Saccharomyces cerevisiae S288C: one gene and its partner. Changing the gene in region 1 together with any one later gene gives a genetic interaction. Each region holds a gene or a part of one and is shown on either strand. Other genes may lie near its edges.

Region 1 (3,580 bases):
TTTTTAAGAACATTTATATACATAATATACACGCCCCAAACATATATCGTTTATATAAGTACTGTTTCCTCGCATTAAGCGGGAAAGCCATGTATCTCTTGTAATTAGTTTGATCCTGTTCTATACCCAAATGTACTCCTCAAAATTATTACATTTTATTATGCCTTTTTCTTAGATGGGCTTTCACTCCACTTTACGAAAAACTGAGAAAAAAAGAGTAGGAGAAAAACTAGAAAAGGGGAATCACACACACACACACACACACACACACACACACACACACACGTCTAATATCGGCGCATATTTATCAAATCTAAAAGGCAAAGAATCTTAATACATAAAATCCCAGACGGTTATGATGGAATTCAAAGTGTCACCATTGACAAAGATTATTTCTCTGTCAGGATTCCTCGCATTGGGATTCCTTTTGGTCATACTAAGCTGCGCATTATTCCATAATTACTACCCACTATTCGATATTTTGATCTTTTTGCTTGCCCCAATACCAAACACAATTTTCAATGCAGGAAATAAATATCACACATCTGACTTCATGTCCGATTCATCAAACACTGGCCAAGATCTGGCTCACTTCCTTACAGGAATGCTGGTGACAAGCGGTATAGCACTCCCTGTTGTTTTCTATCATTGCCAATTGATTGGCCATTTGAGTTGTATCATGTGCATGATCGGTGGTCTTATCATATATTCTAGTATTGTTATTTTTAAATGGTTTTTCAAAAAAGATTTCAACGAAGATGATTCCCTTTTTGGTTAATATATAACAATTACTCATCCCCTCAACAGACTAAGCCAACTGGGTGCGTGAACCGTACATTGATATTATATAGTATGATACTCTACTCAAGGTGGGAAATCTGGCGTCGATTTCTCCTTTTTTTTAGAACTACTTAAATATAATAGATTACATAAAATTACTTTCTGTCTTTCTTCCATTTCAAGTTTTCAAACAAAAAATGCCAAGAAATTCGTGTCTTTAGCCTCTAGTTGACAGAATAATGTAGATAGGCAAAGTTGGCTGAATACATCCGTAATTTCGGGATAAGGATTGGCATTGAATCGCCACATGTCTATAATCTTATTTGAATCGATCTATGAGCGGAAACGTTGAGCAATGGTCGTACAACCATTCTGTGCCGCAATATACCTCATGAAAAGAGATGGGATTGCAAACCTTGAGAAATTAGTCTCTAGTAGGATAATGTATTGTACATTTGTTTGATTCCGCAGTTTTTATAGTGGCTTGAGATTTGTATTTCAACTAGATATGTTGAAAATATCCTCGTAGCGAATGTGGACATAGTGATAACAACAATGTCTTTGTCTTCTACACAAAGGTAAAGGTGTATAAAGCTTTACACACAATAAAGACGACACATAACAAATTATGCAACTGCGCTGCTATTGTAGGATAGCGTCCGATATTATCAATTCTTGCTTTTCAGCTTCTATTATATCTGATGACTAGTTCTCAATCTTTACGTCATCTTCCTATGGCATATTTTGTAATGTGCTAGTGACATGAATACTACTATGGATTATAGTAGGATTTCATTCTAACACAGCTCAGTGTGCAAGTTGTTTTTAATTTTACAATATGAATCTTTATTAAGTCTAAAATATTCATAAAAGTTAAGCGCCGTGGCGCAGTGGAAGCGCGCAGGGCTCATAACCCTGATGTCCTCGGATCGAAACCGAGCGGCGCTAAGCTTAATTTTTATATTTTTATCGTTTCACCTTATGAAAATTCTCGATCAGTATGCCTCAATATAGAACACTTCATTAATGGAAGTACCTTAATAAGGTTATACTAACGAATAGGTCTATTTTCCACTACGGTGTAACTTTCCGACGGAAGTAGTAAACGCGTATGAGTTAAACACGCGAAACTCTTAATTTTGAAAAGTACGCAGAAGTTCGTTACATCGCAATCAGATCAGCTCGAAATAATATTTCACATTAACTAACAACCAGAAATAGGCTTTAGTTAACTCAATCGGTAATTAATGGATCAAAAGGCGTCATATTTTATCAATGAGAAGCTCTTCACTGAGGTAAAGCCCGTCCTTTTTACGGATCTAATTCACCACTTGAAGATCGGCCCATCCATGGCCAAGAAATTAATGTTTGACTATTACAAACAGACCACCAATGCCAAATACAACTGCGTAGTGATATGCTGCTACAAAGATCAAACTATTAAAATTATTCATGATCTTTCCAACATTCCACAGCAAGATTCAATAATTGATTGTTTCATCTATGCCTTCAATCCCATGGACAGCTTCATACCATATTACGACATTATCGATCAAAAGGATTGTTTAACCATTAAAAATTCATACGAACTTAAAGTTTCTGAATCATCGAAAATTATAGAGAGGACTAAGACGTTAGAAGAGAAATCTAAACCTTTGGTAAGGCCTACAGCAAGATCAAAGACCACGCCAGAAGAAACAACCGGAAGGAAATCCAAATCTAAAGACATGGGTCTCAGGTCTACTGCACTGCTGGCTAAGATGAAAAAGGATAGAGATGACAAGGAAACCTCTAGACAAAATGAGTTACGTAAAAGGAAAGAGGAGAACTTGCAAAAAATAAATAAACAGAACCCTGAAAGAGAAGCTCAAATGAAAGAGTTAAATAATCTTTTTGTCGAAGATGACTTAGATACAGAGGAAGTAAATGGAGGGTCCAAGCCCAACTCACCTAAAGAAACTGACAGCAACGATAAGGACAAAAACAACGATGATTTAGAAGACTTGTTGGAAACGACAGCAGAAGATTCACTTATGGATGTACCTAAAATACAGCAAACAAAGCCTTCTGAAACAGAACATTCAAAGGAACCTAAATCTGAAGAAGAGCCCTCCTCTTTTATTGATGAGGATGGATATATTGTGACAAAGAGACCCGCAACTTCAACACCACCACGCAAGCCATCACCCGTGGTAAAAAGGGCATTGTCGTCTTCAAAAAAGCAAGAAACGCCGTCATCGAATAAAAGGTTAAAAAAGCAAGGAACATTGGAAAGCTTTTTCAAAAGAAAGGCAAAATAATCTTCTTTTTTTTCCAAACACTTTCCATTACTAATTGTGATGTAATGTATAATACAAATGTCAACTTACGTGATAGAAAAATAGATCAATATAAATATATATTGTTGTTTAAATTTACTTATTTTCGTCATATATCCTAATATACCATCCGAAGGACATTACTATACTGATTTACATGAACGCTTGACATAATTTGAAATTTAGTTTCTTTCTTAAATTTTTCAAAAGTGTTGCCATGCTACTAGGTAAGCTTTTATCTGCTTCAATAATGGTTTCATATAAGTTTGAACTTTTTTCATCAGCGTCATCCCATTTAGTTTCTATAACTTCAATGACTGTCGCCACTGAATCTTCATCCATTAGCTTCTTATCATCTAAAAGGAAAATTGGGTACAGGAATTTCGCCACAAGCAAAACCAAGTAATGTTTTGGTAAATAAGGGAATTCAATCAGCAAAAGCAATAGGCGCAGCGCTTGGCCCCAATCTTCTCTGTCCCTCA
Region 2 (5,386 bases), on another chromosome or scaffold:
GAATCATTGGTAAGCGCGCTGCAGCCATATTCGTTGAGAGAATCATTAGCATAAGTGGAGAATGTGTCCTGATAGAGCTCCAAACCGGATAATCCAACACTACCACCGTATGAATTTAATGCTACAAATTTTAACGATGAAACGGGAAGTTCATTCACAAACGCAAAGTCTTGGAAATCTGACGTCCATTTTACGTCTGTCTTGTTGTTATCGATGAAGGTAATCATGTCCATGGATGAAGATACATTTTGGCTTGCTGATAATAAAGTGGCTCGGCTATACAAAGGGCAAAATTCACCGCAATTCTTCAACTCCCCACTTAGTGGGTCCAGATACGTTAAATTCATTATGCTACTGGATGGATCAGTCAGAATTTGGAACACGGAGATTTCACTATCGGAACGTTGGGAATTATAAAGCCTTATTTTTGTTGGTGAAACTTCATATGGTAAATTACAAACTAGAGACCCAGACGTATCCGGATAAAGCCATGCATCCTCATTAGTGTTAGGACAAACTAACGAATCAGATGCAAACGTTGTACTTCCCTGGGAATCCCAGGAAGCGTACCTCAGTGGAATTCGTTGGCCTAGCTCCAATGTAGTAGCGTTTAAAGAGGAAGTTGAGTTCGTACCGTTATTTGAACTACTGATAAGCGCAGAAGGATCATCCAGTGTATAAAACTGGCCTGCAAATAAAATGTTGTCATTATTTAGCTTGACTATGGAATTCACACTGGAGTTTTCACCAAACCCTCCAAAAGGTAAAAGTTGGGTGGTATTTGATATGGAGTCCCAAATGAGAGCACTATAGCCCGTCATGGAGCCATTATTATATGAAAAGTTTCCTCCAAAATAGATAGAAGAATTGTCTGCGAGCACAGCCTGAACAGCTCCCAAAGACTGGTTGAATATAGGCGTCATAGACAGTGTCGACAAATTGTATAATATCTGGTTTCCGACAGAGATATTGTTTATCGTGCCTGATCCGCTAAGAATAAACGAATCAACGCCAAATGGTGTAATTTTGTCTATTCGAGTATCATCAGAGGCATCTTCCAACTGGATATAGGTGTTGTTAGAGTAATAAACTAATCCATGTGAGCTTGTTTCTGGACCTATTTCTTTAGTGAAATTTTGTTGGCCTGTGTACTCGTAAAAAGATAAGGCGTCCACACCCCCGAGGATTTGTACTGCGTTGCTATTATTTTGCGATATATTCAAATTCGGTAGCACATTATCTTCGATGTCCAGAAGAGATTTAATATTCTCCAACTGTGATGCCTTCGATATCTCCACAAGAAAAGGAAATGCGAGTGTCCAGAGACGATGAACAAACATTTAATTTCTATATCGTAACGAAGAACAGGTGTATTTTGATCGTTTTCTCTTGCGTTTCTTCGTTTCCCGGTCAATCAACTGTATAAATATAAAACGAAAATTGTATTATCTTCTCCTACAAAGTCTAGTATGGGGATGATTAAAGCGCACACTTTCCTTCGAGACTTCTGATGATGACATTTCCACATTTCCATATATTTCTTTTTTTGTATCGCGAAAAAATGGGAAGAATGGCGTTTCTAACCACTAAAAAAGAGGAATTTTTGCCTAATTTGGGAATTTGTCAATAAAAATGTAAAACATATGAGATGTATTATTGCCTGCGGAAGATTCTTAAAAACATGACAAAATCCAAATTGAAAATGACCTGAAGGTCTCGACTTTTCGGATTTTCATTGTTGCTATGTAAATCTATAGTTAATTATATCCAATTCTGGTAACCAAACCTGTGCTTCGTACACCAATCGGGACCATGCTCATAGTATTCTTCTCTTGTGACCCTCGCTTTTCGGTAGGAATCTGTCTTTGCAAACTGTGACATCACTTCCCACCCAAACAGAGCACAGTCACCTTCGGGCACCGAAACATGACAAGTCCAATCTGTGGGTAATTGCCTTTGTAGTTCTGCCGCAAGCCGTTGGGCGAAATTGGGCAGATTAAAGTTTCCTCCTGTACATACAATGTTTCCTACCATAAGAGGTCGCACTATTTCGGGCAACATGGAAAGGCTCTCTAGGATGGCCTCCACAATGCCTGGTTTAGTAATTTGCGAAATTTCTGGATGGAAAAAAGTTTCTGGTATTGTGAAAAGCTCATCTGTCAGTGTTATGATCTGCGCATCTTCAGGTAACGGTACATTTTCTTTTCTGGGGTTTCTTACGTAACCAAGAAAGCTTGTTTGGAAGTCAGGAAGTACATATTCTAGTGCATGCTTATCCTTCGTTTTGAAACTATCAAAATAAGACACCGGGCTAACGAACAAGCATTGTTCCTTGATATTGTTAACAAGTATGGTTTCATCCATCATATTGTAGTGTCTGAATGATAGAGTTTCCTTTAGTAGCCCAGTTAGGAAACGGCCTCCAATGTCCAATTTTTTTACCGCTTTATAGTACGGTATTCCCTTCAGGACAGGAATTATCCAAGTACAATTAAACCCGGAATCAATAACTAATTGGAAATCATGATAATCGCTACCTGAATCCTGCGCATTCTTGGACTCGCTTGATGTGGAATTTGTACTGTCTGAGTTGCCACGGACAATATCGATATCTTCGTCCTTACCTGAAATTGTTCTCATTTCACCCTTATATGACTTGGTAAATGGTACAAAGACTGCTACAGGAGACTTGAAAAGACTGTCGAATTCATATTCTTCAAATATCACCTGGTCGGCATGCTTACTTAATTCTGGTAAAGTCATACAGCTCTCGCTAGCAACCAAATGATGACCCTTTCCCTCTTTCAGATCAAACCCATCAAACTCTGAAGGATTGAAAAGGCAATAATCCCATATACAACTCTCTAATTCCCATAATGTGAGCTGTCCTAGTTCATGTGGCCTCCTGAAGGTGATAGATGAAATATCTTTGATGTTTTTGATATGATTTGATAAATACGATGTCCCAAATTTATCTTTGGCCAATGCATTTAAAGCTCGGAACGGTTTCTTATTCGTGGAAGGACCAAACTTGATTTCGTATGAGCCATTATCAATCACAATGGGTGGTGTTTCCATAGTTTAAATTATCTTGTCCACGATTCTGCGCTTCTTCTCCTTTGGTCTTGCATTAATTCTCTTGTTCTTCTTGGCCCATTTTGAAATGCATTTGTAATTATGGACGGAAAGTAAACTGTTTACAATAATCACGAAAATACATATAGGTTTACATTATCTACACACTGGAATCGATTTCATACCATAAAAGAGGCCCTATAAGAAGCCGCATCACCTTAAACACTAACCACGTGCAACCAACAGAATATATTTGATGTCTGATAGTCCATTGAGCAAAAGACAAAAGCGGAAGTCCGCCCAAGAACCAGAATTATCTCTTGATCAAGGTGATGCCGAAGAAGATTCGCAGGTAGAAAACCGAGTTAACCTAAGCGAGAATACACCAGAGCCGGATCTTCCTGCGTTGGAAGCATCTTATTCCAAATCTTATACTCCCAGAAAGCTTGTTTTAAGTTCTGGGGAAAATCGGTATGCCTTTTCTCAACCTACAAACTCAACAACCACGTCATTACATGTACCGAACTTGCAACCACCAAAAACCTCTTCTAGGGGTCGCGACCATAAGTCCTACTCTCAATCACCACCAAGGTCTCCAGGAAGATCGCCAACTAGAAGATTAGAATTGCTCCAGCTTTCGCCAGTGAAAAATAGCAGGGTTGAACTACAAAAAATTTATGATAGGCACCAGTCGTCGAGCAAGCAACAGAGCAGACTATTTATTAACGAACTAGTCTTAGAGAACTTCAAGTCCTACGCTGGTAAACAAGTAGTAGGACCCTTTCATACTAGCTTCTCGGCCGTGGTAGGCCCCAATGGTTCAGGTAAATCAAATGTCATCGATTCCATGTTATTTGTATTTGGATTTAGAGCGAACAAGATGAGACAGGACAGATTGTCGGATTTAATTCATAAATCAGAAGCTTTCCCAAGTTTGCAATCATGTTCCGTAGCTGTACATTTTCAGTACGTTATTGATGAATCTTCGGGTACTTCCCGAATCGATGAAGAAAAACCTGGATTGATCATTACAAGGAAAGCCTTTAAAAACAACTCATCGAAATATTACATAAACGAAAAAGAAAGTAGCTACACAGAGGTGACAAAGCTTTTAAAGAATGAGGGTATTGATTTAGACCATAAACGATTTTTAATTCTACAAGGTGAAGTAGAGAATATTGCTCAAATGAAGCCTAAAGCAGAAAAAGAGAGTGACGACGGACTACTGGAATATCTGGAGGACATAATTGGAACTGCAAACTATAAGCCGTTAATTGAAGAGCGAATGGGACAGATTGAGAATCTAAATGAAGTTTGCCTGGAAAAGGAAAATAGATTTGAAATTGTTGATAGAGAAAAAAACTCTTTAGAGTCAGGGAAAGAAACGGCGTTAGAGTTTTTAGAGAAGGAAAAGCAGCTGACGCTTTTAAGATCAAAATTATTTCAATTTAAATTGTTGCAAAGCAACTCTAAACTTGCCAGCACCTTGGAAAAGATCTCCTCTTCGAATAAAGACCTCGAAGATGAGAAGATGAAATTTCAAGAATCTTTGAAAAAAGTGGATGAGATTAAAGCACAACGTAAGGAAATAAAAGATCGAATATCATCTTGTAGCTCGAAAGAAAAGACCCTGGTTTTAGAAAGAAGAGAATTAGAAGGCACCAGGGTGTCTCTAGAAGAGAGAACAAAAAATTTGGTAAGTAAAATGGAAAAAGCAGAAAAGACTTTGAAATCCACCAAACATTCAATATCGGAGGCCGAGAATATGCTTGAAGAGCTTCGTGGACAACAAACCGAACACGAGACGGAGATCAAAGACTTGACTCAATTGCTGGAAAAGGAACGAAGTATACTTGATGATATTAAACTATCTTTGAAAGATAAAACGAAGAATATATCTGCAGAGATTATTCGGCATGAAAAGGAACTGGAGCCTTGGGACCTCCAACTTCAGGAAAAAGAATCACAGATACAATTGGCTGAATCCGAACTATCTTTGTTGGAGGAAACTCAAGCTAAACTGAAAAAAAACGTTGAAACTTTAGAAGAAAAAATTCTTGCCAAGAAAACACACAAGCAGGAGCTACAAGATCTTATCCTCGATCTGAAAAAGAAGCTGAACTCACTTAAAGATGAAAGGTCGCAAGGTGAAAAGAATTTTACTTCTGCTCATCTAAAGTTAAAAGAAATGCAAAAGGTTTTGAACGCGCATCGCCAGCGTGCAATGGAAGCTAGATCCTCTTTATCAAAAGCTCAGAATAAAAGTAAGGTTTTAACAGCTTTATCGAGACTGCAAAAGTCAGGACGTATA

What was found. Genes that interact genetically often act in the same process or in processes that back each other up.
Region 2: mutations in POL32 (region 1) and ARP6 together harm fitness more than expected from each alone (negative genetic interaction), as found in Saccharomyces cerevisiae (5 studies listed by BioGRID, with this or other methods).

Annotation. Positions count from the first base shown.
Region 1 is NC_001142.9:515,961-519,540, reverse strand, and holds POL32 (DNA polymerase delta subunit POL32), read left to right. Parts: upstream 1-2,027; coding exon 2,028-3,080; downstream 3,081-3,580. Other genes in the region: VPS55 (Vps55p), read left to right, coding at 356-778; NUP85 (Nup85p), read right to left, coding at 3,252-3,580. UniProt on the Saccharomyces cerevisiae protein: DNA polymerase delta (DNA polymerase III) participates in chromosomal DNA replication.
Region 2 is NC_001144.5:298,912-304,297, forward strand, and holds ARP6 (Arp6p), read right to left. Parts: upstream 3,079-5,386; coding exon 1,762-3,078; downstream 1-1,761. Other genes in the region: RAX2 (Rax2p), read right to left, coding at 1-1,340; condensin subunit SMC4, read left to right, coding at 3,332-5,386. UniProt on the Saccharomyces cerevisiae protein: Component of the SWR1 complex which mediates the ATP-dependent exchange of histone H2A for the H2A variant HZT1 leading to transcriptional regulation of selected genes by chromatin remodeling. Involved in chromosome stability.